Drosophila melanogaster: one gene and its partners. The protein of the gene in region 2 binds, or shares a complex with, the protein of the main gene of each other region. Each region holds a gene or a part of one and is shown on either strand. Other genes may lie near its edges.

The links.
Region 1: Ada1-2 (region 2) and wda share a complex: the UniProt entries of both Drosophila melanogaster proteins name them as parts of the spt-Ada-Gcn5 acetyltransferase (SAGA) complex.
Region 3: Ada1-2 (region 2) and Spt3 share a complex: the UniProt entries of both Drosophila melanogaster proteins name them as parts of the spt-Ada-Gcn5 acetyltransferase (SAGA) complex.

What each region holds. Positions count from the first base shown.
Region 1 is NT_033777.3:23,250,654-23,262,440, forward strand, and holds wda (will decrease acetylation), read right to left. Parts: upstream 7,435-11,787; 5' UTR 7,347-7,434; coding exon 7,188-7,346; intron 7,128-7,187; coding exon 5,833-7,127; intron 5,756-5,832; coding exon 5,455-5,755; intron 5,395-5,454; coding exon 5,048-5,394; intron 4,971-5,047; coding exon 4,841-4,970; 3' UTR 4,417-4,840; downstream 1-4,416. Other genes in the region: Rad60, read right to left, coding at 1-449, 514-571; EloA (elongin A), read left to right, coding at 1,224-1,304, 1,596-2,183, 2,239-2,616, 2,672-2,889, 2,948-3,042, 3,100-3,299, 3,365-3,656, 3,716-3,795; Pex11c (peroxin 11c), read left to right, coding at 8,257-8,328, 9,024-9,388, 9,449-9,508, 9,568-9,775. UniProt on the Drosophila melanogaster protein: Component of the transcription regulatory complex SAGA, a multiprotein complex that activates transcription by remodeling chromatin and mediating histone acetylation and deubiquitination. The SAGA complex predominantly acetylates histone H3.
Region 2 is NT_033779.5:11,988,792-11,998,780, reverse strand, and holds Ada1-2 (transcriptional adaptor 1-2), read right to left. Parts: upstream 5,880-9,989; 5' UTR 5,789-5,879; coding exon 4,989-5,788; intron 4,925-4,988; coding exon 4,798-4,924; 3' UTR 4,727-4,797; downstream 1-4,726. Other genes in the region: Ada1-1 (transcriptional adaptor 1-1), read right to left, coding at 887-1,013, 1,078-1,877; Qtzl (quetzalcoatl), read right to left, coding at 2,538-2,779, 2,838-2,967; CG18789 (uncharacterized protein), read left to right, coding at 3,464-3,540, 3,596-4,715; escl, read right to left, coding at 6,307-7,206, 7,262-7,451, 7,510-7,808; dgt2 (dim gamma-tubulin 2), read right to left, coding at 8,005-8,468, 8,526-8,757; zuc (zucchini), read left to right, coding at 8,957-9,718. UniProt on the Drosophila melanogaster protein: Component of the transcription regulatory complex SAGA, a multiprotein complex that activates transcription by remodeling chromatin and mediating histone acetylation and deubiquitination. The SAGA complex predominantly acetylates histone H3.
Region 3 is NT_033777.3:12,011,302-12,021,492, reverse strand, and holds Spt3 (Spt3), read right to left. Parts: upstream 4,338-10,191; 5' UTR 4,268-4,337; coding exon 3,113-4,267; 3' UTR 2,943-3,112; downstream 1-2,942. Other genes in the region: DCAF12 (DDB1 and CUL4 associated factor 12), read left to right, coding at 4,675-4,941, 5,011-5,565, 5,625-6,029, 6,094-6,246; GCC185 (GRIP and coiled-coil domain containing 185 kDa), read right to left, coding at 6,907-6,989, 7,053-7,170, 7,234-10,191. UniProt on the Drosophila melanogaster protein: Component of the transcription regulatory complex SAGA, a multiprotein complex that activates transcription by remodeling chromatin and mediating histone acetylation and deubiquitination. The SAGA complex predominantly acetylates histone H3.

The DNA of each region.
Region 1 (11,787 bases), on a different chromosome or scaffold from region 2:
TGTTAGAGATGTTCTCTTTTTTTGGCCGCGCTTCTTTGGTTTCGTCTGTGTGGGCACCTCCACAGTCGGTGAAACAGGTGGTGGCGCCATTTCTGACCTATTTAACGATGACCGTGTGCGTCTGGCCACAGGACCAACGTCATTTTCTTTGGCGTGCTTCTCCACATCCGATTGCTGGCCATTTTTCTTTTCCATCTCCAATATCAACAGGGATACCGGTGATAGGGAGCGCTCTGTTCTCATATCCTCTTCTGGCTCCACAGCCTTATGTTCTGCCTGTTTTGGTGGCGAAGCATCATCCTGACTTTTGGGTGGATTTTTCCGCGTCGCTGCAGGGTTCTTTCGTTTGCCAGTTTTAGTTGATTTCTTGGGGAGGTCTTCAATGAAATCGTAGTCCACCTCCTTGGAGAAGGAATCATTGCCAAGATTGTAAGGATTCTTGGGCAAAGCTGATAAAGACGACAAAAGCGAAGGTATGTGGAAAAACTTGGATTTCTGCAGTTTAAAGCTAACCTATTTCGGGAATCCGCTTGCGAGCAGCACTGAATATATCGCAGTCGTCGTCGGACATCGTGGGCACTCAGTAACAGTCAGTAATAAACCAATAACGGCGCCAAACAATAAACACAAACACAAAACCAAATAGACGCCACAGTGGTTGCAAGGAAAATCGATATCCGATAACTACTGTGACCAGGGTAGCCACACGACACGAGACCACGATCAAAGTATTTGCTGGTAGTCAAATGTAATTTACAATTCGATTTTATTTAATGTGTGTATCGATGATTTGGACATGTTAATTATTTGTATTATCACGATTGAATTCACTAAATGTTTGTACAAGCCTACTGTGACGTAGAGCAACTCTGGCCGACAGCTGTTTGGCCAGTGTTGACAAGCGCCACGCCGTCAAAAGCAAATCTCATTTAGTTTCCAACGCTGCTGGCCTGGCAAAAGCAAAAATCGAATGTATTATAATAAAGGCCCGTAATGCTATTGAAAATAACTTAGAGCCTCGCGACCAGAGGCTTTTCCGCGTGTGTGTGTGCACTTGTGCGTGTGCGTGTGTTTGCCCTTGGGTGCGTGTGTGTTTACCTGGATTCCCTAAAAAAAAATCAGTAAACTGAAAGTGAGAAAAAGAAAACGGGAAGAGACGACAAAGTCTGCCTGCGTGCCATTTTTTTCATTTCATTTTGCGTGGAATACTTTGAGACGACGCGATGGCCTCCACCAGCAATCTGCTGGACGTGGTGCGCCACTACCAGCGCAGCATTGAGAAGCACGGCGAGGACGAACAACGGGTGAGCTATTACCCTCATTGGCACCGCCATCGCATCCCTTTTGATCCACTGCTTACTGCCTTCCTATCATTCAAGTCCCCCATTTTCCTAACCATTTAATCACCCCTATGTACCTGACCTGGCTGGCTTTCCCTTACTTAACCTTGTGAAATTCGCAAACATATGTACCTCCGCCAAGGTCACTTTTCTCGACTTTAAGTCGCTCTTCTTTTCCGCTGACCTTTCACTCACACGGTCTTTTGCTAATCTTTCTTAATCACCTCTTTCGCTACCTGCTCTCCCGTCGAGCAGCTGCTGCACTGCATCACCAAGCTGTTCAACCTGCCGATCAAATTCGAGCACCTGCAGGAAACGGGAATTGGCAAGACGGTGAATGCCCTGCGCAAGATCAGCGGGGAAGTTGGCGTGGCGGCCAAGACGCTGGTAACCAAGTGGAAGGCAATGGTGGCGAAGGAGGACCCTTCGATCGCATCTACGCCTACAGCCATACATAACGAAGAGGACTCGGGCAAGACCAAGTCCAGCGACGAGGATCCCGACCAGGAGAACAAGGGCGGCAACTCATCCAGCGGCGAGGACTTGAACACCAGCAAGCACAAGTCAAAGCATGCCAAGAGCACCAAGCATGAGCGTAGCAGCAGCAGCCGATCTCACTCCAAGAGTAGGTCTGACTCGGATAAGAAGCACAAGAGCTCTCGCCACGATAAATCCAAGGATAGAGATAAAGATCGGGAGGGTCAGAAGGAAGCTAAGGAGCACAAAGAAAAGAAGTCAAATGGCGAGCACAAGTCAAAGGATTCCAGCAAATCCAGCAGCAGTCACAAGAGCAGCAAATCCGAGAGCCACAAGAGCGAACACACCAAAAGCAAGCACGAAAAGGTATGCTTTCCTCTTGATCAAAAGTGGTTATTGTTCTTATGCATTTTTTTTTCAGGACAAAACTTCTCACAGTGAATTAAAGGAAGTCAAAGACAAGTCGAGCAAACACAAATCATCGTCCTCCAAGTCATCAAAGCGCTCCCATAGTCCCCCACGCCACGAGGAGGAGTCCCAAAAAGCAAAGATACCAAAAGTTAAATCGAAATCTGAGGAAGATTCCGCTGATGGTTTTGACTCCAGCATGGGCGCAAATTTTGACGATGTTCTTGGTCTGCTAAACATACCCATAAGTAGCAAGAAGAGCAGCAGCAACAGCAAGAGCAAGTTTGTCGCCAAGCCAACTGCAGCCCCTTCCTCGTCAGCTCTATCAGCACCTACGACTGCTGGGTCATCTAAAGAGGCACTCTCAACTAGCAGTCGACCGACCTCCAAAGTAATTAGTAGAAATTCATTTTTATAAGTTGTGGTAACATATGTTTATTCTTTAGAAACCCGAACTGTTGGCATCCACAGCTAAGCTGGAGCCCTTGGATCCAAACATTGCACTAGAACTTCCCACCATATCCAATAACTACAAGCCCATGCCATTAAATCAGACAGTTATGGACGTCGTCTTTAACCAGGGTGGCTCACACAAGGCGCAAGCATCACGATACTTTAATGAGTCAGAAGCTCTAGCGCAGGGCATCTCTTCCAAAACTATGCGGTGAGCTAGGATATTATAATGTGATGCACAAAGTATATCAACTTTTTATACTTTGTAGCACCAAGATCTATTCGGGTGTGAGAACTGGTCAAATCCTGCAGGTCCCTTCCCTTTTTGATCTCTGCACCCGCGTGCTGCAAAAGAATATTGATGGTAAGATCTTACTAATGGTCATATCGAATGTAAATAACCATCTTAATTGTTTTTCAGCATTGGAGTATACGGGTGGCGTTCCGTTTGAGGTCCTACGTCCCGTTTTGGAGCGAGCTACCCCCCAGCAGCTGCTTAACTTTGAGGAGTACAATCCTTATTTAATGGATGACAGTGATGTCCTATGGCAACAGCATGTCCAACGTCACTGTCGCAGTCAGCGGCGTGAAGAGATGGAAACGTGGCGCGAAATGTTTTTGGTAGGGACGCAAAGACCCTAAATTAATGCAAACTAAACTAAGCTGACACAAAAATTTCGTTCTAGCGCTGCCAAGAGGAAAAGGATCGCAAACTTAGCATTCTGGCCGAGAGCATCAAGGCATCGCAAAAGATAAGCGAGGCGCCTGTGCGCAAGACGCAATTGGCCTTTGTGGACTCAATGGTGAAGCCGCCGCGTAGTGTGCAGCGCAAGCAAGAGCAATATGGCACCAAGGGCAAGCTAATTGCCACTCCAGCCGCCCGAGTGGCCGCCTTGTCCAGCGTGACTCCAAATGCAGCCAAGGTGGGCGATGCCCGACTACGTGTGCTGGCCGCTGCCAGGGACACGGCCCAAGTGGGTAAGTATTGTAATGATTGTGGTTAAGAATTAAATTTACCTATAATTTTTATTGAAAAGGGGCTGGACCAGCGCGATCGAAGAAGGCACCTCTAATGGCGAAGACCTTGCAGTTTATGCGCGGACGTCTCAAACGATAGATGCGCTTACTCATTATAGCTACAATCTTATACTCAACTTCTTCAGCGACAACTTAAGCAGCAGCAGTAGCAGCAACCTCGATCTATTAGGCATTCACGGTGGGATTACCTTCCAACTTTATTGGCAAAGACTTTCAGGTCTGAATAAAGTGACATTGTGATACTAGACCTTCTACTTCCCAGTGCGCTGTGGAATCAGACTGCTGCTGTCGGCATGCGTAGCATATGCATGCTATTTATTATTTATTCATGTTCTGCCCTCTTTTATTACGCTGTATAAGTCACTATATTTAAGCCAACCGGATAAAGATAAAGCTTTTGTTGCATCCCGCTGGGTCGTAGACAAGCTCATTTACATAAGTTATGATATTTGATTATAGTTGTTCAATTCATTGATTGCATGTAACTTACGATCAGAAGGCTGATCACTCCAACATTATTTAAAAATTAAGTTCAATGTTCTTTGTTCAAAAGGGCTGTGCGTATGTCCAAAATCATAGAGGTTCCAAGCTGTATATAAATGTATTTACACAATCCTAAACCTATATGAAACTACCTAAATTATTGAAGAACAGTAAAATGTCTCTTAATGCATCGCTAATTAAATTCAACCAAAAAATTCTATATTACCTTTAGATTTATTTAGTTTTGCACATTTTTAGGTATTGGGTAAAATGTTAATATATTAAAAAAAATCACTTCAACAATTGAAATTCGATTCGAATGCTCGTCTTATTTTTAATAGTTACACATTTTTCAACTTTTGTGGAAATTGGCCACTCATTACTTATGCCATGACTTCGTTTTGAAAGACATTCTTTAGCTGTGACCAGTAGACGATGCAGGTAAAGGCATTACACTGTAACCAACTCGTTTTATTCCACAAGAAAGCTACCAGGATTGTTAAATCAAAAGAATTATTTATATAAAGAATTGTTTCACACGATAGTAACAATAATATACAACTTATTACAAAATAAATTATTTTCAAACATAAGTCGTCACTAGAAAGTCTAAATTCGGGCTGAACTTTCAACCGTCTTCTTTAAGTGCCGATGCAGTAGAGCGTCTTGCTGGTCCCGTAAAAAACATCGACCAAGCGCTGGCAGGAACTATTGACAGTAAGCACACGATTCGTTGTAGCTGATGATGAGCTTCCAGCACTACTGTTGTCACTGTGGAGCAACCAAAATAAATCATCATTACCAATATTAACAAATTGCTCCGTTTCCATTCCACAAATATAACTAACCTCATGGGCGATAGTTTCTTGATGTCCCACAATCGCAAGGTACCATCGCTGCACGCTGTGGCCAGGTGCCTATTGTGCGTGCTCCAGGAAAGAGAACTAATGCTCGCCGAGTGATCCTTGAGCTCAGCCAGCTGTGCTCCGGCGGCCAAGTCGAATATACGCACCTTCGTTTCCTCTCCGGCGGCAGCCAACATCTTTCCATCTGGGCTAAACGCCAGCTGGGTCACCGCCTGACGGCAGTCGGCAAAGACACGCATCAATTTTCCGCTGGTTGCACACCACAGGCGAACGGAGTGATCTGCCGATCCTGTGGCTATGTAGTTGCCATTCGGATGGAACGCAACGCACTGTCAGAAAAAAAAAATATATATAACTAAAAGTTCAAAGACATTTTTGGTTAAACCAACCTCAACATCCTGTGTATGCCCGGCATAAATTATGAGCGCATGTTCCTTCTCTAGCGACCAGAGGCGCGCACTCAAATCCTTGGAACCCGTTACCACGTATTGGCCCACTGGACTTTCGTCCAAGCACCAAATTGGGTAGTTGTGACTTCTGTATATGGCGGCGCAATGCAGGTTGTGGGCACGCCAGCACCGCATGGTTGCGTCTTTGGACACACTATACATGAGTGGGTAGTGGGCGGAGAAGCGCACATCGGTGACTCCTTTTGTGTGACCTCGCAGCTGAAATCCGCCGTATTCGTTGCTAATTAGAAAAAAAAAACTTTAGTTGATTAAAAATTGAAAAATAAAACCAATACTAAACCTGGAAGATGAACTTACTAGGAGTTATCAGCATATTTGCAATGTCGCGCCCTGTTGCGTTCCCGTCTCTCCTCCTCAGAGCACTTGACATCCTCATCGCTGCTGTCCTCATCCGTCTCCTCCTCTTGATTCGCGCAATTGTTCAGCTCCCAGGGACACCGCTTTTGCGGATAGCGTCTGTAGAAGCTCTTGCCGCGGCAGTAGCTCTGGTTTAACTGCCACAGCTGTACGGCAGAATTGTCGAACCCGGCTAACATGTGGCACTCACTGGGATCCAGATGGGCGGAGGTGAGGCCCCGAGAACGTTCACTGATTCTGAGAAATCGCGGCAACTCCACCTGAGACTTGAGTATCTGTTCAGTGGCCGATTTAAGGGTGTCCAAGCAGGCGTCTATATTCAGTTGTAATTTACTAAGCTCTGCAGATTCATCCGTTTCTACCTCCTGTTTGATGTCTGTTTCTAGCATAATGTTTGGCTCCTCAGCGGGTCGTTTTCGGTTCGACTTTTCAGTGAGGGATTTGCTTGGTCTTATGTCTCCGCGGGTATTAAGGGTTACTGCTGGTTTGGAAACAACATCGTCCTCTCCATCCTCACCTTCCAGGTCATCCGTCAAGCCAAGCAGGTGATCCTCACTAAAGGCGCGCTGCTCATTCTCCACTATATGGACATGCAACCAGGTGTAGAGTAGGTTCATAATTAAAACGTGGCCCCGTCGTTGGAGATAAGCGCATATCCTATTAACAACTACGGCTGTAGTATGTAGTTCGTATTTCGAAGATCGAAAATGGGCCACTGTGTCATCGGACTCTGCTGCCTCCAGCCGTGTGTAGCCACTCAGGGTTTGCACCAGGCGCATAAAGTAGTCCAGTTCCGTGTCCCCAGTGTCCTGGGCTTCCTTTGCGAAGCGTATGTTAAAAGTGGACTCATTGGCCGTAGTGGAGCATCCGTTGATCTTGGTAGGTGGTGGTGCATCGTACATATCCACGGGGGCCACCAAGTGAGCATATTTGCGCAACAACTCCACAGCGCCACGCGGTTCGCGAGCCTTGAGCAGATCCAGATAGAAGTGGCACAGCATGGGTCCATAAAAGCGCTTCATTTCCAGACGCAGCGGTTCGGCCTGGGCCTCCACGAACTGCGAAAACCGACCAAATTGCTGGTCCACAGTGTGCTGGTTGTTGGTGATAACCTGGACATTTGAAAAGGTGAAGCTATTGCCACCGTGCAAATCCGTATCCAGCATTTTGTTGACAGCAAACTGCTGTTTGTTTTGCAGCAGCAAAAAATCCGACCGCCGAAATCGTTCGTTGCTCTACGGGTTTGAATATTTGAACACTCTGAGGAATTGTATATTTGAAGATTATTCACTTACCACGTAGTTTTTCTGCTTCAGCAGGAGTCCCACGGCGCAGCGTAGCAAATCGTTTTTGGAGGAGGTCTTTTTGCTGCTCGCGCTCGACTTGTTGTTATTGCTGTTGCTGTAGACGGGCGATGCAGCATGTGCGTGGTTGCTGGCGCTGGGCAGGCTCATCGTTGCGTGTTAGCCTCGCTTTGTTCCGTATCCTGATCCCGTCCTGCAGTGCGTCCGATATGCGTTCGATTATAGTGCTGACAGCGGAGATGGGTTGTCCTATCGATGTGCATTCATCGATTTTAAGCGGCTGCAACAGCTGTTCTTTCAAAATTGTTTTCGTCAGTGATGGCTATTTGGCTTCTCTTTTATAACAATATTGATATTGAAATATTTTAATTTTAAATTTATTTTTACATTTTTAACTTATATTTATATTATATTTTATTTATATTAACTAGCTTTTTATTTTTAGCTCTATTATATTCTCTATTCTTAGCTAGTTTATTTGGCTATTGTCACCACTGAAGAAAGTCAGCTGTTTGTGTTGTTGGATTCCCGAGCGCTCTTGACAATTTCTTGTATTTTCGCTGCGGTATCTCAGTTCGAGTTTTTACGTGATATAAAACAGTACCTGGTCTTCAAAAAACGAGCCATTATGGGCACCACGACAAAGTTTGTGAACGAGTTCTGTGATATTATCGATTCCTATGGCGGGCGAGATAAGGTAACATAGAAGAGCCGCACAGCCGAGTAAATTTCCAATTAATTGAAAACACACCTGTTTGTTTACGTTTGAACCGAGTGTTTTTCCCAATTCGTATGCGCAAATTTAAAAAAATGCATCGTGGCATTTTGACTGGTTTCTATTTCCTTTTTGGACTGGTCCATTGAGGGGCTCGCTTGAAATCGAAACTGAACCAACAGGTTTCCATGTTGTTGCTGCATCGATGTTGGCATTGGTCTTTGGGTCTCGAACAAGGAAGCCACAGCAGTTTGGACCTTGCCTTACTTCTTTCTGATTCGCAATGGATTTTGTATTTCGCTTTTCGCTTATCAGTCGCAGTTCGGCGGCGATCGAGTCAAGATAATGCTCAATACTATAGCCGGCAAACCTTTAAGCCGCTACCAGATAAAGCGGATAATTCGTTATGAACGAAAGGTTTGTTTGGACTGCCGCCCATCAGGAGACACGCGATCCACACATTTCCACCATCGCGAGTTTATATACCCCTACAAGGGGTGTATACAGTGCAGACAAAGAGGGAATCTTGTATAGTGTATCTCTATTTTAATAGAAAAATCGAACCTTGAATACGATAAAATATTGTTCAAAGTATTTTAGATTTATTAATTAGAACAAATAATTTGTTATACTTGATAACCATTTGAAAATATAATATAATATATTATGTGGCTGTAAACAGCGAATGGGGTGGTCACGAACTTTGGAAATACTATAGGATATTTACATAAATTAGTCGTATAGCGACATTAGTATTCCTCCGAATTGCATAACTAATTCATTGATGGCAAAGCAAGCAAACTGAACCATTAATGGGTAAACAATGAAACCACCCACAACTCATTCCGGCCAGGACGGACGACCAGGAGCACTCCACTGGCGGCCATCACACGAGATGATTGTGGCATTCGTTGTATTCTTTTTATCGCTGATAGTATTTTATCTGTTTGTGACAACCAAGCAATTCCACAAATTGCAGGGCTGACTGGCGATTGGGGTCAGGTAGAGGCAAAGGTAAACAGCGATGCCAACTCTCGTGATAGAGCAAACACACGGCTTAACGAATTGCGCAGAACAATTATTACATATATGAAATTAAATACCTATTTCAGGTGATGAAGGCATTGTGCTACAGTGCCAAACTGGTGGCTGGCTACCATGCCAAGCGGAATCCGGAACTAGCCAAGCGATACGCCACCGCCAGCTCAAGGATCTCAGGTGCGAGAGCCACACTGCGTCTCATCGACGACATACCCATGATCCAATATGCTTTGGAGTATGGCTTGGGCGAGAATGAGCCCGATCGCGTCATGCAAGTGCTGGGAGTGACGGCCAACATTGTGGATTTGCTCTACTATCCCATCGAGAAGGTGTGCTGGCTGGCCGAGCACAAGATTGTGGATGTCAAGAATGCGGATAACTGGGACAATGTCAACTCCATATTCTGGGTGCTTTCGGTGTACCTGAACCTCATGAGGTACAGAAGAATTATTCGAATCGTCAGCTTTGAATTTTCAAATTAAATTGCATCTTCTAGGACAATGCGGAATTTTTCACTGAATCAGGAAAAGCTGAACCGAACGAATAATATAAACGAGTAAGTGGTCGTCAGCCGAAAACATCCAATAAAAGCTAACAAACCTTCCAAATCCATAGATTGGATGTGAAAACGTTGACCAAGCACCGCCTGGAGATGGTGTCCATCGTTCGGATCTCACTCGACTTTGTGCACGCCGTCAGCACGCTGCCGAAAGGATATTTGTGGGGCGGCAAGCTGTCCACCCTGCAGGTGGGTGCTATTGGCACCTTATCCGCTGGCCTGGGCATCTACCAGATCTTTGCCAAGAGAAGACTGAACAAGTAGTCGGTCCGCCGTTGTATTTGCAATCCGTGTACTCGTATTTGTTGAACAGAATTTTAAGCTAGTCGGTAATCGTTTTTGTACGTTGAGTTTTTTGTACGGCACTCGAAAGTGTGTTTAGCCAGTATGTCCTTTAAAGTAGCACAAAATACACGCTGAATAATTGTAAAAAACATGAGTTTTTGGTCTGTGTGTCCTTTATTATCTGTTATTTCTTTTATTGTGTGTTTTTAGATTCCCATACATGTATATGTCAGTTTGTGTATTGTTAATTCCCTTCTTAGCCAGCAGAATGTTTAACTTAATGTACATATATTGTCAGCCCTCTGGCGAGGGTTCATTTACCAGAGTTATTCGTATTATTTGTCGTTCACGAGAACGATTTGTTTTGTCGGTTTAGCAGTCATTGTATACAATGTGTCTTAGGCATATTTAAAATACTCATATGTCTGATATAATACTTGTTATGCATGGTTTCAATTTAAATATTTGGATTTATAGATTACATGAGGGACCAGATCAGTTGGTCGGGCAGGAGCCCAAGATCTGACCTCTATGGCTTTGGTTAAAAATAACATTTGTTAGTAAATATATTTTCATTGTACATAGTTTATTTGCTTGTGTTTGTGTGCCGTCGCAAGCGCATAAATATTAACAATTACTTTTTTAGTTATTATCGTTTTTAGTTTGCTCTGCTTGACTGCTTCCATTGGTAAGCTCTTTAGATGTACGAAGTATGAATGAAGTGGTGTTTATCATTTTATTTTTAGCCTTTATGTTTGCTGTTTATGTAACGGGGTTCATTAAAATTCATGTTATTTTGATATAGATATTTTTGGGATTTATTAATTTTCGATAATATACCTAGCTACATGAGTTATATACTTTTGTTATTGTTATTAGTATCATTGGATATTCGATTGAAGTTTGTTCGCTTCACTTACAAAAAAAAAAAGCCTCAAAAAGTTCCCAAAAAGAGTTCATGCACTCAAAATATGTTCAACTTTGTTCCATTTGCTTTTATAGTTGTGTATCTGTCTGTATTCTTTATAACCATAATGCAATTTGAACTCTTGCTCATAACAATATATAATAATTATTTAGTACATAAATAGGTATATATATTTATATTTGTATGTATTTATATTGCATGAACAGTGGCCAAAGTTAAAGGATCGGCTACAAAATATTTGTTCCAACTCTTTTCTACAGTAAAACTGTACAATCTTCCATGTTGGGTATACTGTATATGCTGTAATCCCTCGATATGGTGTACGGTTTACCCATAAAAAAGAAGTCTGGACTTTTTTAGGTGCCTCCAAAAACTAATAACCAACTGTATTAGGTCTTTATGTACCAATTTACGTCTTGCTTTATATATTTATGTATATATTTATTCTTATCGGAAGCTATTTAAAATGGCACTGCAGTAATTTTTGTTTATATTCCTATATAAGGTGGGAAAATCAATTAGTCGAACCCCCGCCAACCCCTTTATATTGGGCGAAAGGACGAGGGCCGTTACTAAATATTCTTCTAAATATCCTTTACTCTCATCCTCTGCTATAACAGTATACGAATTCAGGGCTCTTAACTCAATTCGGTTGCCCCGCAAGTAATTATTAAAATATATATTTATATGTAAGTGTATGTATATAGTATATATGTGGTATTTGATTATTGCATTAAAAGCTTAGTATTCCGTTCTGAATTATTATTTAATATTCATTGGTGTATATATATATAGGTTGTATAATAGTCTTTTTAAAAACCGTTCTTATTGCATTCTTATGCTTACTCGCTAGGTTTACGCTTAATTTTAACATATTTGCCGGGCAAATATTGTTGGTTTAAAATTCAATTTGCAAAGTTCTTGCTAATGTTCCCCCAAAATGTGTCTCACATGTTCGCTTGTGTCTTTGAATACAGTTGACAGTACATCAGTAATACGATAGTAAAAATATCTGGTATAGGGTTTCGAATACGAGTAGTATGGAGTTAGTTTAGAGTACAGA
Region 2 (9,989 bases):
TCCAGTAATCCCTTCGCTGCAGCAGCTCCGGCTGCCGCCAATACATCTGCATCCATTTTTGGAAAGCCCACGCTGAGTGCGGGAAATATATTTGGGAATGCCACAAGCCAAGCCAGCAACACCAATAGCATTTTCGGCGGAACGATTAGCAATGCCAATGCAAGGAATAGCATTTTTGGTGTAGGAGCTGCGGCAACAGGTGCACAAAGTGTCTTTGGACAGCCACAGCAGCAACAGCTGCAGCCTGCTGCACAAGCTTTCCAAGGGGGCAACATTTTCGCCCAGGCGCAGGTTCAGGTGCAAGCTCAGCCAGTGAATCCTAATCCTTTCGGTGGTTTCCAACAGCAGCAGCAGCAACCGCAGTCGACGGGAATCTTTGGCCAAGCCGCAAGCCAAAATATGGGCGGAATGTTTACTCAGGCTTCTCAGCAACTACAACAGCAGCAGCAGGCAGCTGCCTCCGGATTATTTGCTCAAGCAGCAGCATCTGCATTCCCTAATCAACAACAGATGCAGCAGCAGCAACAGATGCAGCAGCAGCAACAGATGCAACAGCAACAAATGCATCAGCAGCAGCAGATGCAATAGCAACAAATGCAGCAGCAACAACAATTTCAAATGCAACAGCAACAGCAAATGATGCAGCAGCAGCAGCAGCAGCAAGCTCAACCGACCAACGAAATCCAGTCCTCAGTTTACAGTCGCATGGAGGATCTCAACGAGCAGGAAATCGAAGCATTCAAGGCGGATCAATTTCTACCAGGTGCCTTGCCATTCAAACCGCCTCCACGGAATCTTTGCTGAACCAAACACTTAATGGTACACTAGCGTATAATGTATATATTTTTACAGAAGCTGATATAATAAAATAATTAGAACTTATAAGCTAATGCATCATCATATTGAGTCGTTCCATGTTTATGGAGTAGACGGCATGCGAGCCTATCAGGTTGCGATCCCGTAAGGCCAGTTGGCAGTCCTTGAGGGTGATTACTGTGCGTTCGGTGGGTTGGCTGAAAGAAACAAAACCTAAGTTTGTGTTTCACATGAAAATCTCATTATTATTCAGGAGCTTACACTTCTTCGCAGGCGGAGAGGAAGGTCACATCGTCGTTCTGTCGCCGCATAAAGTTGGCCGTATTCAGTTCCTTGTCCAGTTCCAGCGGCGTGTCGTCGACCTTCTGCCGGGTGACGGTGTTGCGCAGCGAAGGATCACGCAACGGAGCACCTACATCGTAGTAAAAGTTTCCCTCGCCGCTGGTCTTGTAGTGCTTTCGTTTCTTGATGATTGCCGATAGTAGATCCTTGAGCAGAACTTGCACGGCCATGGCAACGTACTCGGCGACATTGTCGTCCACGGAGACAAGTCCGATTTCCCAGGCACCGATCAGAAATCGTCCCATAATGAATCCCGCGTCGGGCAGGAAAAGTTCCTGCGCGCAGTACCGCTGCGACTGAAGCTGTTGCTGTTGCTGGTCCGACGGAATACCGATCGTGGTTGGCGGACGAATGATTTGCATGTTGTCCTCGGCTACAAAGTCCAGGACGTCGCTGAGCTCAAAATTAAGGCGTTCGGCGAAGGTGCGGCAACTTCTTTTGCGCCGTTTGCTTCGGTTGCCACTACTGCTGCTGGTCTGGACGGCCGGAGGATTCTCCAGGGGAGCAAAGGCGTCGATCTTGTTGAGCAGGGCGAGCAGGAACTGATTGTGCAGGTGCAGTTTGTCAGGTGTTAGGATTTTCCGCGACTCCGCATCGAATTCCTCCTTAGTCCAACGGCTCCGAAACCAATTCTTCATGTTGGCCCGGTAACGCTCCCAGTTGTCGCCCAGAGCCACCACTAGCGCCTCCTTGGTGGCCAGAACTCTGTCGGTAAGCATTTTAGTATTGGGAATAACAACTAAACAGGAAAATCCAACTGTTTGCGAATTGCTATATAAACAAATGAATGCAGCTGATTCGAGTGACCGTTCAAAGAACGGCTGAAAATACCAGATACATTTGAGATAAAAACCGTTATTTTTGAAGAACCCTTTAAAAAAATATTGGTTTTAATCTTTAGTGTTCACAGTTTTTATTGTGTACAAGTTAGTTAGTTAAAATATAAACATTAAAGATAGAGCCCACGCCATTCACACAACATAAGATGATAATATTTGCGAAGCTATTTGATCATTAAAAAAGTAATAGAATAGAATAAATATCTTGGTTAATGTTAAAAAATTTAACATAATTTAACATAAATTGTCAATACAATGAGTATTGTATATAAATGCTACGCATAAGAACATACTTAATATTGAAGGTAAACATTACACTGAAAATAACTATGGTTACATAAATATGGTATCGGATTTAGAAGGATAAGGAAAATTCTTTTAGCCTAGAAACACTCATCCTAATTGACGCGATCCCATCGCCACACGGTGCTGTCGTCGCACACGCAAACTAAAATGGAACCGTCTTTGGAGAAGGAAGTCTGTCGGATGGTGGAGTTGCTTTTGGGATGAACCAGCTGGCTACACTTTGTTAAATTGGGATCATTGCAGTCCAATTCCCAGACAAATGTTGTGCCCAGTTGATTGCCCAAGGCCAGAATCTTTTGCCAGGCGTTGAAGGCGAAGCGTACGAACCAGATTTCCGTAGAAATTGGTCAGATAGGGGAGCATAGCGTCCAATACACGTGGGTCCATTGGAGTGGTGGCCTGGGCATCCAGGTAAAGTGGTCTACCCTCGGTCTGTTCGTTCTTTATGTTGAATCGCACCTGTCTCTCCCGGAATTCTACGAACGAATACGATTTTGGTAAGCGGTAACTGTGCATCTTGGAGGATCCGCTTACCTTTGGATGTGGCGGCTGGTTTAGCCGCTGTCCTGGAGGAGGTGGCCTCGTGTCTAACCACATTGGCTAATGCATTCGTCGCCCGGGAGCGGAGGACCTGCGCCTGGATGCGTCCCAGCACTTTTTGCATTCTGATGGAATCCTAGAAATTCTGGTGTTAAAATTCGTTATCACGGATTTCACAATCAGTGGGACCGTATTCGGCGGCACGAGATATACCAAAGGACTCCGGAATTCACTTTAAAATTATCTGATTCGATTATGCAGAAGCAAGTTTCTGAATTTCTTTGAACATATGAAAAATGAATAGCATCTGTGCAAGAAACCAATATTTTTCAGATATATTCGCACTTAATGTATAATTTACAAGGAACTATATTTTCAAAAACCAGTTTTCATCTTAAATATGTTTGCTTACAAAATTATCTTAATCATTCAGCGAACTTAAGTTACGAATTCACGAAATTGCGCGCATAGGCACGGTATATTTTTCTCAGTGAGCCATAAAATACTCAAAGAATACTCAATACGCAAAGTAAGACAATTATAAACAAAAGTACAAAAGTTGAAGCAGTTTTGAAATAATAAATATAGGAAATAGGCAAAAATTAAAATCAAATTTAAATATGGTTGTCTGCCGGTTCTTTCAACAAGGCTCCTGCCGCTATGGCGCAAAGTGCAACAACGAGCATTTCGATGTTAAGTGAGTACATTGATATTAAAACTATGCAGATGAACTAATAACTTAATTATTTTAGGCAATATCTCAAAGCCGACATGGAATCCAGCCTCAATGGCAAGATGTGGCCTTTGTCCGCCTACGGACCCTTTAAGGACAAAGCGAATTTCCCCAACTTTATTCAGGACCAATCCTTCGAGGAGGTGCGGTTCATGTGTTACGAGGCCAAACGACAAAACCAATTCGAACAGTTCAGCCAACAGTTTAACCGTGAGGTCCTAGAGGCTAACAACAAGATGAAGACCATGCTTCAGATGTCGCCGCAGGTCCTGGAAATGATGATCAAGATCCACGAGACGCCGGAGGGCGGCACTGTGTCGGCTGCCCCTCAGCAGTCCAGTAATCCCTTCGCTGCAGCAGCTCCGGCTGCCGCCAATACATCTGCATCCATTTTTGGAAAGCCCACGCTGAGTGCGGGAAATATATTTGGGAATGCCACAAGCCAAGCCAGCAACACCAATAGCATTTTCGGCGGAACGATTAGCAATGCCAATGCAAGGAATAGCATTTTTGGTGTAGGAGCTGCGGCAACAGGTGCACAAAGTGTCTTTGGACAGCCACAGCAGCAACAGCTGCAGCCTGCTGCACAAGCTTTCCAAGGGGGCAACATTTTCGCCCAGGCGCAGGTTCAGGTGCAAGCTCAGCCAGTGAATCCTAATCCTTTCGGTGGTTTCCAACAGCAGCAGCAGCAACCACAGTCGACGGGAATCTTTGGCCAAGCCGCAAGCCAAAATATGGGCGGAATGTTTACTCAGGCTTCTCAGCAACTACAACAGCAGCAGCAGGCAGCTGCCTCCGGATTATTTGCTCAAGCAGCAGCATCTGCATTCCCTAATCAACAACAGATGCAGCAGCAGCAACAGATGCAGCAGCAGCAACAGATGCAACAGCAACAAATGCATCAGCAGCAGCAGATGCAACAGCAACAAATGCAGCAGCAGCAACAACAATTTCAAATGCAACAGCAACAGCAAATGATGCAGCAGCAGCAGCAGCAAGCTCAACCGACCAACGAAATCCAGTCCTCAGTTTACAGTCGCATGGAGGATCTCAACGAGCAGGAAATCGAAGCATTCAAGGCGGATCAATTTCTACCAGGTGCCTTGCCATTCAAACCGCCTCCACGGAATTTTTGCTGAACCAAACACTTAATGGTACACTAGCGTATAATGTATATATTTTTACAGAAGCTGATATAATAAAATAATTAGAACTTATAAGCTAATGCATCATCATATTGAGTCGTTCCATGTTTATAGAGTAGACGGCATGCGAGCCTATCAGGTTGCGATCCCGTAAGGCCAGTTGGCAGTCCTTGAGGGTGATTACTGTGCGTTCGGTGGGTTGGCTGAAAGAAACAAAACCTAAGTTTGTGTTTCACATGAAAATCTCATTATTATTCAGGAGCTTACACTTCTTCGCAGGCGGAGAGGAAGGTCACATCGTCGTTCTGTCGCCGCATAAAGTTGGCCGTATTCAGTTCCTTGTCCAGTTCCAGCGGCGTGTCGTCGACCTTCTGCCGGGTGACGGTGTTGCGCAGCGAAGGATCACGCAACGGAGCACCTACATCGTAGTAAAAGTTTCCCTCGCCGCTGGTCTTGTAGTGCTTTCGTTTCTTGATGATTGCCGATAGTAGATCCTTGAGCAGAACTTGCACGGCCATGGCAACGTACTCGGCGACATTGTCGTCCACGGAGACAAGTCCGATTTCCCAGGCACCGATCAGAAATCGTCCCATAATGAATCCCGCGTCGGGCAGGAAAAGTTCCTGCGCGCAGTACCGCTGCGACTGAAGCTGTTGCTGTTGCTGGTCCGACGGAATACCGATCGTGGTTGGCGGACGAATGATTTGCATGTTGTCCTCGGCTACAAAGTCCAGGACGTCGCTGAGCTCAAAATTAAGGCGTTCGGCGAAGGTGCGGGAACTTCTTTTGCGCCGTTTGCTTCGGTTGCCACTACTGCTGCTGGTCTGGACGGCCGGAGGATTCTCCAGGGGAGCAAAGGCGTCGATCTTGTTGAGCAGGGCGAGCAGGAACTGATTGTGCAGGTGCAGTTTGTCAGGTGTTAGGATTTTCCGCGACTCCGCATCGAATTCCTCCTTAGTCCAACGGCTCCGAAACCAATTCTTCATGTTGGCCCGGTAACGCTCCCAGTTGTCGCCCAGAGCCACCACTAGCGCCTCCTTGGTGGCCAGAACTCTGTCGGTAAGCATTTTAGTAATGGGAATAACAACTAAACAGGAAAATCCAACTGTTTGCGAATTGCTATATAAACAAATGAATGCAGCTGATTCGAGTGACCGTTCAAAGAACGGCTGAAAATACCAGATACATTTGAGATAAAAACCGTTATTTTTGAAGAACCCTTTAAAAAAATATTGGTTTTAATCTTTAGTGTTCACAGTTTTTATTGTGTACAAGTTAGTTAGTTAAAATATAAACATTAAAGATAGAGCCCACGCCATTCACACAACATAAGATGATAATATTTGCGAAGCTATTTGATCATTAAAAAAGTAATAGAATAGAATAAATATCTTGGTTAATGTTAAAAAATTTAACATAATTTAACATAAATTGTCAATACAATGAGTATTGTATATAAATGCTACGCATAATAACATACTTAATATTGAAGGTAAACATTACACTGAAAATAACTATGGTTACATAAATATGGTATCGGATTTAGAAGGATAAGGAAAATTCTTTTAGCCTAGAAACACTCATCCTAATTGACGCGATCCCATCGCCACACGGTGCTGTCGTCGCACACGCAAACTAAAATGGAACCGTCTTTGGAGAAGGAAGTCTGTCGGATGGTGGAGTTGCTTTTGGGATGAACCAGCTGGCTACACTTTGTTAAATTGGGATCATTGCAGTCCAATTCCCAGACAAATGTTGTGCCCAGTTGATTGCCCAAGGCCAGAATCTTTTGCCAGGCGTTGAAGGCGAAGCGTACGAACCAGATCTCGCACATCTTGTAGTCAAAGTGATGCAGCACCGTGGTGGCCGACTCCTGTGGCTTAATCTCATGCCACGATTCTGAAAGTTTGCCCGGCTTCCAGCAAACAATTGAGTTCTCGCAGGATTTCGAAAAGACAAAGTCGCCGAACCACTGAACGCAATCCACATAATTTCGATGTATATCCCTTGTCGAGAAGTCCGGAAAGTGCTCCTTGATCGTGGGAAACGGACCCGTATTCTTGTTGGGACTAAAACCAGAGCTCAGCTCGATGGCCTCTTTTATATCGGGCTTATCCAGTCGCCAGAGCTTCAGTGAGTGATCCATTCCACTGGACATGATGCGATCACCGCGCAAATCAAAGTCCACAGACAACACTTCGTCGCGGTGTCCTTCTACGCCGCCGAAAACCGCCACACACACGTCCGACTGAATGTTCCAAAGGCGCAGGGAGTGATCCTTGCTGCCGGACAGAAGTAACTGCGGTCTAGTCGGATGAAACTTCAGCTCGTTAATGGCGTGCCCGTGACCAATGTAGTTTTTGCTGCACTGGTGCTTAACCGGATTGAATATGCGAATGACGCCGCGGTAACCAGCCGCGGCAAGCACAGGATCGCCGGTCACAGAGTCGTAGGACCAAGCGCATGTGTAGAAACTTTCATCGGTCTAACGAGGGCGTAACGATGATGTATGTAAGTAATAGCATATGATGAGTACTTACATCTGGGTCTGCGTAGACTTGCAGCAGTCGAATGCCTTCGCAGGACTCCTGTCCGGTGCTCCTCTCGCACTCATAAATGGAAACCCGATCCTTGCCAACGGTGGCGAACACCTGCGGCTGGCCTCTGTCCAGGAACGGATTGAACTGCACTCCGAAGATCTGATGGTTGTGGTCCTCGCGGACATGGGAGCTGCAATGCATCCGGGATATAAACATTATGACTTATGTTCTGCCTGGAAAAATCACACCTATATTTGTACAAGGGCTGAACCATTTTGGGTGCCTTGATCCGCCGACACAGGCGGTTCAATTTTCGTGTATTTGGCGATTTGCTTCTGGTGGTGGTCGTAGTAGTGCTGAACAAACTGGCGGTGTCCTCCCGATCCACGGAATTAACTTCGTGCTCATCATCCGGCTCCACAACATTGCAGACACTCGAGGAATTATTGCTCAGCACTGCCTCCGCTGGAGAGTGGTCAGTGGATTCGTCCTCTGCCGGTGGCTCTTCGCTCGGAGGAGATATTTCACTGGGATTCGTTTCGGTCATATCTGTTTTATTCCGGCAAACTTAAAAGCTTCTTTTGTTTACAAATTGTTTATCCCTAGAGTGACCGTCTGCAAATACTGCAGTGCAAAACAGTGTTGCCATTCTAGAGCGAAAAGACCTAAACGAACAACCCTGTTTAAATCACAATTATAATGTATTTAAAAATCTAATTTACATAATACTAGTTTGCTTAAATCTACTTCTTGGCGGCGAGCAGCTCGTCCAGGTGCGCCTCCACCTCCTTATGTGCCTTGACGCTATGTTCGGTGCGAGAGGCGGCCTCGTGGACGAAAAATCCGCGCAGTAGTTCTGCTTTTGTTTGAACAAGTTGCGCCTGCGCCTGTTGCAATTTTAGTTCGTTTGCCAACTGCGGCCCCAATTTCAATTCGGCGGTCTCCTTGAGAAGCGTGCACTTACGAGTGAGAAGCGCAACCAATTTCTCCAGACCGCTGCGATGCTCCTCCTCCAGGCGCAGAATCTCCTTTTGGTCGCAGCTTAAGTCCGCCTCCTGGCCAAAGGCGTCCGGGAACTCCTCGCGTATCCTGTCGCACAATTCGGCAATGGGTTGCAGAGTTGTGCGTAATTGAGCGGACAATTTGGTACGCACCGTCTTGCGATCCGTGTAATTCAAGGGCGGAAAACTGCTGCCGCTCGGTAGACCTGTTAGATTTCCAATGGTTATTCACTGCTTTTGGAATAAACTTGTAACGCGCCTACCAAGCACCTGCTCCTGACCAGCTCCCTCCATCTCGCCGAGTCGCGCATAACTTCCAATGGAAACCAATTTGAGGGCTCTTTTGATTTCATCACTCGGATTTGGGCCCACATCCAGGCGTCTTAGCTCGTCCAGCACTAGCTTCAGCTTGAGCACCTTCTTCAGCTCCGCATCGCGAGCCAGCCGCAAATCTTCCGAGTGTTCGGGCAAGAGCGTGGCGGATGGATCATCCATTTAGGTGGTAAAATGCTTAAATTGACCCGAAATTGATTGTTTGATTCGAATGGGCAAGCGCATGGCTGCGATACGGCAACGCTACTGAGCAACAGTGTGACCGGTAGCTACTAACGATAATATATTTTACTTATATTTTATAATGGTCACCCCAAGATTATTATTTAAAGCGCGCTAGAGAAACGAGCTAAATTCAAAAATGTTGATTACCCAAATAATTATGAAACAAATTCGAGACTATCCCATTGTGTCCACAATAAGCATTGCCGTCAGCACTGTCCTGGCCTCAGAGGTGATTTGGAAGCTGGTGCAGTGCTCGCGCAGCAAGCGAGAGAAGGCAAGCCGCGTGCACGAAGTGATCATCTTCAATGAACTGGGCGAGATCTGTGCGGCGGTGCATATGCGCAACAGCAGCATGGGATCCCAGAAACCACAAGTGTCGCCCTGCTGCAACACGCATTGTTCGCTGCGGAATGTGGCCAAGATCGTAGAGCAGATCGATCGGGCTGTATACTCCATTGACCTGGCCATATACACCTTCACCTCGCTTTTTTTGGCGGATTCAATAAAGCGGGCCCTGCAGCGCGGCGTGATTATCCGGATCATCAGCGACGGGGAGATGGTCTACTCCAAAGGTTCTCAGATCAGTATGCTGGCACAATTGGGAGTTCCAGTTCGCGTCCCCATTACCACGAACTTGATGCACAACAAATTCTGCATAATCGACGGCTTCGAGCGCGTCGAGGAGATTCGTCTGCTGAGGAAGCTCAAGTTTATGCGTCCGTGCTATAGCATCGTGATCAGCGGCTCCGTAAACTGGACGGCTCTTGGACTGGGAGGCAATTGGGAGAACTGCATTATCACAGCTGACGACAAACTCACAGCCACGTTTCAGGCGGAATTCCAACGAATGTGGCGGGCTTTTGCGAAGACCGAGGGGAGCCAAATCCAGCTCAAGTAGAAATCAATTGATTTAATGTATGACTACCAAACAGTTCCTCAGTATGCCAAATAATTATAGTTCTTATTTTCTAAGTGCCTTCAATTAAACTAAAACTTTTTAAGGCAGCTTGATCTTCACACACAAAGGAGTGCCAAATTAATTAAGCAAAACAAAAGTAATCAAAATGTATACCTAACAGTATAATCCGTATGAAATCTTTATCACTTCGATTGAGTTGACTAATTTTCAACGTGCATTTAGTTATGATCAGCTTTGACTATATATATAA
Region 3 (10,191 bases), on a different chromosome or scaffold from region 2:
GCAAGGATAGCAAATATTTAAATTTATTTCAAGCTGCATTTATTATAAACATATGTTTAACGATGATATGTTTGCAATTAAACACATATTTATAAAGAAAACATCTTCGTAATCTTTGGTGTTACAAAAGTAACATTGTTTAGGTCCTAGCCTTACCCCTAACAATTCCTTCGGTCTTATCTTATCCAGTGTCTTATGATGTAACCAACATCCTTCGACTGAGAATAGTTCGTTTCAAATTTCGCTTTTGCAACGGAGGATTCGGTGGTATTACGTTTCAGTTCATACATTTCCATTCCCAAAATGGTAAATATGAGGGGATTTTCGGGGACGACAAACTGTTGCATGCTGTTCCCACTGCTGAGTGCGCATGACTATTCCCATTTCCGTTCACTGTTAACCGCTTGAACCTGCAAGAATTGTTCCCAGTTTTTAGAAACGAAAATTTGAATTTTTATAGTGAAGTCAAAACTTATAAGTAAAACATATTAAATAAATGTAAGTTCTGTGATATTAATATCTAAATATAATTGAGAATCTATAACAAAATGCGTGCTTTAATTCTTTCTTAATTAATAATTGTTAATAACATCAATTAATTAAATACATATAAAATTAGATAAAATAATTTGCATAAATTTCACTTTAGGCTGAATTAAATTGCTGAATTCCAGACAAGGTGCTTACATCTTCATCATACTGCTGAACTTGCGACTTTCAATGAGAACACTCAATTCATATACGCATAACTTGTTTTCATCACACATCCATGCGTTCCTAACTCAAGATGTAAATAGCTGCGTTTAGGAAGTTAAAATCGTTGTTGAGTAAGTAGGTCAAGTATTTTGATCACATAATATATAATTGCTCCTGCCACTTAACTAATTAAATAAAGACAGTTTTCTTTGTGCGCTCACCTCGACCCGCCTGTCACCCACCTGCCTCCCACCTGGGCACCCAAACGCACTCGGTGGCACTGCCAATCGCACTCGGGGATGGAGTGGCATGACCATGGATGCTGTGCCACCAATGACAATGAGATGAGAATGCCCTTGGGCTCCGTTCATAGGACGGATAGGTGGATGGACGGAGCAATGGCGATGGCGTTGGCGGGATCTTTCCGTTGGAGGCGTTTAATCTCATTCATTTTGAATAAGACCGGCTCCAGCGTATTTAGCCTGAGTACTTGTGTCAACACATTCCAAGACGGTTTCAAATTAAAAGGCCGTGTAATATGCTCCTCCGAGGGACTGTTTTTGTTTTGGTTTCCTTTTATTTTTTTGCTAGCTTCTAATGGTTTATGCCTAGACAACTGTCAATGGTCTCGGGGGCTGGGCATCGGGGGAAATTGCCTCCGGCTGACGTCAGCAACTTTTCGAGAAAGCGAAAGTAATTAAAAAAGTTTAGCCGAACGGATTTTCAAAAATATCCAATTGCTAAGCCAGACATGCAATTGATGTTTCTCAACTGCACACTCTTTGTGGCAAGTTAGAGAAATTAAAAGCTTTACTTAATTAGCCGCTCAGCAAACATGTTCTTAAACATAAGTCAATTTTGAATAAAAATTTTCAATATTCATGCTATGATTTTCTGTTTACATAGTGTAATTCTATTTAACTATCATTGTTAGAAAAGTTTAGAAAACAGTATCTTTCAAAACAGTATCTTTCGAAGGATAATTAATTCTGTATTCTAAATTATTCAAGAAATTAAGGTATAGAGGCATATTTACATACATACGTATAATATGAGGGCCTTCCCTTTAAGAGAAGTTTAAGGCAACTCGGCTACAAGGGATTGGGGCATATTGACTTTACGCGGCCTGGAAATTGGCTACGTGACTTGACAATACGAAGAAATGACGACGCGACGACGAGCTCCACGGACCTGATGATGATGGTCCTGTTGGGGACGAAGCGAAGAGCCGCATGAAATGCAAATTTGGAAACATTAACAGTGAGTGTGGAGAAGTGTGGGGAGCAGTGCGCGGGGTCAAGGAAAAAAATCACAAGGACGATGCTGGAATGGAAACAAGTTGTTGGCTTAATTTCGTCACAGCCAGCTTGTTTTCATTAACTGGCCATCGAGGAGCTATCGACTGCGTTCCGGCGCTCGTTAGGCGTATGAGCAATCGATTAAGAATAATGGGCCGTTGGAATTACATCTGCAGCACAGAGCAATCAACATTAAGATCCGATTAAACTAGGATATCCCACCGAAGAAAATAACAAGAGGATACCTTTAAAGGTGCATCGATTTTAAGTCAAATTTCGGACCGCATGTTATCAGATAAACAAGCGGGTGATAGGAATAAGAAAAATTTCAAATAAATGGTTTTTAAAAGTTATTTTAAAAAGGTTTTTGGAAAAGATTTGGATTTTGCCTTTGCTATACAATCATGACCACAATTGCACATATGTACATATATTAAAAGTTCAAGTGACATTGAGCAATAATTCTTAATCCTTTTCAATTCACGGCAAAAGACAGAATGAAACCCGCCACCCATAACTGCGGAATGAATTTTAACCCCTTTACCCTTCGTTGCTATGCGTGTCACACACATTTATATGCACAACAGGAAGTTGATTATTAAGTGCGTTCGCGAGTTGCTTCTCTTAATGCCTTATGCTGCAGTCTCTCCTGCAATCCTGCGGCATCCTTGCTGGTCCTTCTCCTTCGCTCCGTCTGTGTGGCACACGTGCGAGTGCGCCTGTCGGCAAATTTCTTTATTGCGCTTTTATTTATCTGTCGGTGCCAGTTTCAACTTCGTTTACCGCTTCAATTTATCGGCTCCATGCGAGGCAGATTCACCCGTCCGTAATTGGAGTGCGTTTTTCTGTCTTTTAGTCGCAGCCTCAAAGGCCAGGATATGTGCCACAGGCAAATTGAATTAATGAATATGCCTAGTTGTTCTTGACCTCTCAGGAAAAAACTTTTTTAACGAGCCAAAATTGCTTTATTTTATAATTTGTATAATTAAAATGTAGAGCGCGTTAATTGTTGGGGATTGAATTACTTTAAATGAATTAATTGTACAGTCTATTTTTTGTGAATAAAATCAATAATTGACGCAAATAAAAATAGGCGAGGATATTAAGATCATTAAAACTTAAATGGCTAGAAAACTGCGCCGGAAATCGATGTCGCAAGAGTTGCGATACCGCCCAATCTTACGGCTGCTCATTTGCCGGAAACGGCGCATGGCCTCGTGGATCTCCGGTACACTGATTGGCTTGACCACCTCCATGCCGCGACCCTGTGTGACCTCCGGACAGACGTGCATCATAGCCGGACTGCCTCCGGCGGAGGTCACTCGGCTGTAGGGCTCGGTCGCACGGTTGTCCGAGTTCAGGCGCGTCAGGATCGAATAGTCGACAATGGCGGCAATGGTCTCATGCGCCAGATAGGCCAAAATGTTCATTGTCGGCGTTGGGATGCGAAGGTCCGCGGGCAGGTCCAGAAAGCGGCGGAACTTGTTCTTGATCTTCTCCCCATGGCGGCAGTAGAATGACGTCTTGCGCGCCTCATTGAACTCCAGGTATTGCTGGCCCGTAAGGATCTGCGATATCCGATCTGCGCGGAATAATCTTCGCATTCGGTCCTCGTCGTGTAGCTCGTACACATCGATGGCCAGCTCCTCGTCCTCCTCCTGCTGCTCCAAGTCGTCCATGAAGTCCTGCGGCCTTCCCGTGCGGATACTAAGGAACCTTTTGAGTATGCGCATATCCTTGAGGTGCTTTCGCATCCGAGCTATCTTCACCGGATGGTTGCGCATCAGGAACTCAAAGTCCGCCTGCGACGGGCAGGGATTCTGTTTCCGCCGCATGGCCACCAGCGAAGCCTCATTGAAGATGCCGCGCAGCTGCTGCTGCAGGATCTGCTCCACCAGCTTGACACTTCCCGTCCTGGGCTGATCGCTGTCGCCGAAGCTTCGCATGATATCCGCAATCTCTGTGAGCAGTGAGACAGGTGCATCATCCGGAATGAGAACGTTGGCAACGTTGCTCCCGCTGGCACCACCGGCTACATTATGTCCAGCTAGGTTGATCTGCTGTGGCGAGGGATTCGTCGGTATGCTTCCACTTTGCAGCAGAATCACTTGGCGCTGCACAAGCAGTGGCTTGATGTCCTCGGTGGTCTGCAGTTGCGGCGTGCTGGGCGCCGAGGGCGGGGCAGGTCCAATCATTATCGGCGACGCTGCCATGTCGTTGGAACCCACGCAAACCGAGTTCTGTCGCATTACTCGCTTGGCGTTGTAGTTCATTTTATTTACAAACAAAGTCACCACTTCAATCGCAACAGCTGATTTCGTGAGAATAGATAAAACCCTTTGTGAAAGCGATGGCCTATCGTTAGGGATGAACGATAGTGTAACGCATTTGTGCGACATCCGACTTTATATAAATACTGTATATTATATATATATTATTATATATATATATATATTCAGGTAACCAGAGCGGCCGAGTATTGTGCCAAATAGAAAAATGTCAACACTTGTATTTTTATTTCCCTTAATTTGTATCTCTGCATTAAATGCAAAACAATCGGTTCAGCAAACTTCAGTTCCGAACCAGTAGTTCCACTGTAGTCTACGCACCACCATTTTTGTTTGCGGATGATAACCCGTAAAGCAAAAGACAACAAATCGGATTAAACAATTACCTTAAGATGTTCAACGGGATGGTGAGAACCATCCGCGACAGCGTCGTGGGCACCTATCCGTCCTGCCACGTATCCTCGCGGCTGGAGGAGCGCAGGGCCAAGCAGCGGGCGATGCGACAGGAGCGTAGACGAAAACCGGACAAACCAGACGACTTTGTTACTTACGAGGATTCCGGCAGCGACGAGGAGACGCCCCAACAGCAGGAGGAGGTCCTGAACACATCCTACAACCTGTGCGACTACCTGCGCAGCCGGGAGAGTGGACTCCGAGATGTGGGTATATGTTGTGAAGTCGCACCACTTGCATTGCTAACGTGAACTTTGTCCCACCATCCTCTGCAGCGTCGCAGTGTCAATGTGGAGTACACCAGCCGCTATGTGCTAACCCACGACATGCTGCGCGAGACGCAGATTAGTCTGGGCTACATCAACAAGGTCTTCTGCTCCAAGTGGCTGAGCAGTCGACAAGTGGTTTTCGGGACCAAGTGCAATAAACTGCTCGTCTACGATGTGAACATGCGCCGGGTGGACGCCATCCCAACGCTCTCAAATAGCCGGGCAAACCATCCTGAGGTCCAGGGTGGCCTGCATGCCATCGAGCTGTCGCCCAGCCGATCCTTCCTAGCCACCGGTGCGCGCAACTCCTCCGATATTGCTGTTTACCGACTGCCTACGCTGGATCCCGTCTGTGTGGGCGAGGGTGGGCACCGCGACCTTATAATGGGCATGTGCTGGCTGGATGACCAGTTTCTTGTGTCCGGATCGAAGGACTCGCGCATGGCTCTGTGGCGCATCAACGAGGATCACATGGAGTTTCCAGATGGCGGCGAGGAAGCGTGTCCCACATTCGCAACCATCCACCCCCTTAGTGTCAAGGAAGTTCGCACTGCCCAGAGGGTGAGCTTATGAATGCAAATCAAATCAAAGAACCATTTTATCAATAAGATCTTTTACAGATTCGATCTCTTTGCTTCAACAAGGAGTTTAAGGAGATCGCCGCCCTCTCGCTGAACGGATACATTCACATCTTCAATGCGGAGACCTTCAAGCAGACACTCTCACGAAAGCTGCCAAACTGCCAGGACAACGTGAGCATCGCCTACCACAGCGACGGCCTTTATGCCGTTGGATGCCGTTCCTATACCATCCTTTTGGACGCCCGAACCCTTCAAACCATTAAGAAGATCACATCTCGATACAGTGGCTGCGGTATACGGGCGACTTCGTTCGAAGGTAACCTGCTCACCGTTGGCACGGGTCTGGGCATGCTCCTATTCTACGACATTCGAGCCGGAAAGTATTTGGAGAGCAGTGTGAATGCCTCGCGCACAGTCGCACTCAAGTGCAGCAAAGGAATTGTGGTAAGTGAAGAGGTTACAGTTCCACAAAATACACCAATTCACCTAACTGTTTTGTACATTTCAGTATCCGGAGGATGAGATGGATGGCTTCCAGCAGGTGAAGTATGTGCCCGCCATCTACACCCACTGCTATGACAGCACTAGGATGCGCCTCTTCGCTGCAGGAGGACCACTGCCGGCGACTTTGGTGGGCAACTATGCGGGCGTTTGGCAATAGATTGGCATAGGATCCGATCCGGGCTCACAATACTGATTAGTATTTAAGTAGTTATTCGACTTGTGATCTTTAATCTTTTGGCGCATTTCGATTCAAATCGTTCACCTGCATATGTATTCCGCCAAGACAGAATTTTTATTTAACTTGATTACTCACTTTTGGTTTTAATGAAATTTATGTAAGATTTATGTTAATGATATTTTATATTGTGTGTAAACAATATACACCGTTTAAAAGTGTAAATGTAAGCATAAATACCGATCCTATTTATATATAGTACATACAATACAAATAATGGAATACTAATTTATAGACAATGCATCTGATTTATAGTCTGATCTATATGGTAATAGAATTTCAAATTAAACAAACCATTGAAAAACATTGTTTTTAAATATATGCAAAGGCTTTCTTCAATCTACAACGCGCATATTGCCGGTGGTGCTGTATAGGGCACTCAACACAACGGGTGTGGACAAATTACAAGAGTGTACAAAGTACGATGTGCCAAACAGCAACGAGCAATTTTAAAATACATTATATATAAAAGGGAAATTGTACAAGATTTACAGAATGAATGCTATGCAACTGCCCAACGACTGACGACTATCCGCATCCAACAAGACGAATATTTATATATTATATATCCTATGATGTTCGCTAGTTGTTATTATTGGGACTGCCTCCTCCACTCCACGCAGTGAGGAATCCCGTCCAGCTGCGACTGCTACCATCTGCAGAAACTAAAAGCAATATCTTAATACAAGAAACCATACTAAAATTTAAATTTTTCTGCTAGTAGTTACCTTTCTGTCCCTTGGCCACACAGTTCAGCATTTCCATTTCGTTGCGACTCAGGCGGAGAATGGTATTTAGCACGGGAACCAAGCGCTGCCGCTCATCGACATTGTTTAACGTAAGGAACTGCAAGTTTATAAAGTAAATAGATTAAGCCCGTGGATATAGTTATTGCGTTCCTGATCTCACCTTTAAGAAGACGTTCTTCAAGTACTCGGAGTTGTGCATGTGTTGTTCACGTTCCTCGGAGCGCTCTTGGCGGCGCAATTCTTCCTTGAGCATGTCGTTCATTTGGGTCAGTTTAGCCAAATCCTGTTCGTTTTCGGCCAACAGGGCAGTCAAGTGCTTGACACGACTTTCCTGGATGCTTAGGCGTTCTTTTGTGGCCTGAAGCTGGGCACTTTGGACGGAAAAGTCTCCCCGTGCGGCCATTTCCGCTTCCTCGTCCTCCTGCTGCGAAACGCTGCGTCCGAAATTAGAGATGGTAGTCACGGTATCGCTGGTTATTTGGTTCATTGATGTGTTGAGCAGCTCGTCAAGCGGCATGAAGTCGTGGGAACGTCTCGAGGCAGTAGATATCTTTCGCTGAGCAGCCAGTTGGGCCAGAGAGACGTCTCCAGCGTGGCCATCCAAGCCTGTTTCGTGGTCCATAAGCAAGTAATCGATCTTTGCCTGCTCTGGACTGGTGTCCACGCTCGCGGCGGATGCAGTGGTATGCTGAGAGACGTTTGCTTGCATCTTTTGCGCTTCCTCCAGTTGCTCCTGCACCTGCGTTAATTGCAACTGGTGCCCGGCGTCCAGCTCATCAACTTGCTGGCGATGCTGCTGCATCAGGTCGTGTTGGAATTGCAACTGGCGTTGGTTTTCTAGCGACAGCAGGTCGTTTTGCTGACGCAGTTCGTCAACTAGAGAGACGAGCTCTTTGCTACGCTTTTGCAGATCAGTGTTATCCTGTCGCAATTCCTCTATTTGACTATCCAACTGGGCCAGGCGGGCAGCTCTTCCATCGTTGCTGGCGCGCAGATTGCGTTCACTCTCTCGAAGCGCAACCAACTCTTCTTCCAACTCCTGTTCGCGGTTGGAGCCCTTATTTTGGTTTTTGCGCAGCACAGACTGTGCCTTCAACTTGTATTCGGTGTACTCTACTCGCAGGTCCTCCAGAGCTCGTTCCGCATTTCGAAGCGCCGTCTCCAATCGCTTTTGCTCTGCCAGGTGCATTTCCAGCTCCTGGGTTTGGCTTAGTAGTTGTTGGGTGGCCGTGTTTAGCTTCGATTCGTATTGTTGGGCGCTCTCCGACAGCTGGAGACGCAATTGCTCCGCCTCGAGCTTGGCCTGTTCAACGCCATGTTCCAAATCCTTGTTCTGAGTGAGCGCCTGTTGCTTGCTGTGAACTGCGTCTTTGACCTGGACCTGCATGCGATCAATCTGCTCCTTAAGTTCTAGGGAGTGGGCCGCTTCGCCGTTTTTGGCCTCCTCTAGGATAGCGATCTCCTTGCGCAGCTGGACGATGGTGTTTTCCTTGCTGGCCAGTGATTCCTTAACGGCTTCTAGTTCGCTAGACTTAGCTGTCAGCTTCGCACTAACTTCGCTCAGGGATTTTTCAGCTGCTTCAATTTCCAAATTAAGGACACTGGAGTGCTTTACTTTCTCCTTGGACTTTAGCTTCTGGTTTTCAGCTCGAGCTGCATTTAAATCCTGTTGCAGTTGGGCCTGTGCCAACTTGATTGCCTCCAACTCCTCCTTTAGGGCACCGCTCTGTTCCATTTCATTCAGCTGCTGCGTCTGCTCCTGCAGTTTCTTTTTCAGCTTGGCAGCTATGGCTCTGAGCTTATGGTACTTCTCCTCGTAGCCTTCGTCCAGTTCACGCAGGCGGCTTAGTTCTTCGGCTCGTGATATTGTGGATGTCGACAGAACATCACTCTGGGCATCAGCATTCGCCTGCTCCAATTCCTCAACACGGCTCTGGAGTTGTTTGATCTTCTGTAACTTCTCCTGCGCCGCCTGCTGACTATTAGATAGTTGAGCCTCCAAGTCTCGTTGTCGCTTGACCTCCGCTTCGTGCTGTTCTTGAAGGCGTGAAATGGCATCACCGCGTCCTTTGAGCGCCTCGTTCAGTTCCCGCATCTCCGTTAGCAACTCTCCATGCTCTTGCTCCTTGAGGTGGTATCGCGTAAGCAAATCCTCGTTGTGTTGGCGCAGTTCTATGCAGATGGCTTCCAACTCCTGCAACTTCCTCTGCTGATTATCACGCTCCTTTGCAATGACTTTGACCAGATTTTGCATTTGATCAAGCTTGGTCTGGAATAAGCTTACATTAAGGTTCCTGGCGTGATTTTTGGTGTTTTCCTGCTCCTTCGTTACACTTATCAATTGTTCCTTGTCAATTCTATGCTGCTGCTTTATAATGACTGCAAGCTCTTCGAGAGCGGTTATCTTCTTAAGTAGGTACTCCACATTCAAATTGCTCCTTTGGTTCTTTTGCTTCTGCTTCACTATTTTGGCTAGCCGATCCATTTCCTGAACTCTTTGCAGCAAGCGCTTGCGGTCAATTCCAGTGTCAATTGTTTGAGGATTATTGTCTGACTTTCCATTGTTCAGCTTCAGTTTTTCATTCTCGGCCTGCAGGGATGCCATCTTTGCGCACAACAGTTGCGAAGCTTTGATAATCTCCACCTGCCATTTGGAAACGGATGCGGCGTACTCGTGCTGCGTTTCCAGCAGCACGCACTTGCACTCCTTGAGGTTCTTCAACTTGCGGTGTACATCAATGAAGCGGTCCTTTAGAGAATTAAACTTCTTGCGTTGCTCAGAGTTAAGTTCCTTGATGTTTTGGTACTTTTGCTGCAGCACACTCGACTCTTCTTCCATCGTGGCGACTTGCTGGCGAAGACTAGCGTTTTCCGCCTCCGCTTCCTTAATTTTGGCAATGTCCACTTCCAAAAGTTCCAGATTCTTGCGCTGCTCGTTACCCAGAGCATTGACCTGTTGCATAGCCTTTTCCATGCGATCCACATTGGCAAGGAGGGCATCGTTTTCATCACTCAGTCGCCCAAGTTGGCGCTTTAGGCTCTCGTTCTCGATCTCGAATTGCGTCAGTCGATCGGCATCCTCTTTGGTCTTTCGTTTCAGATTATTCACTTCCTCGGT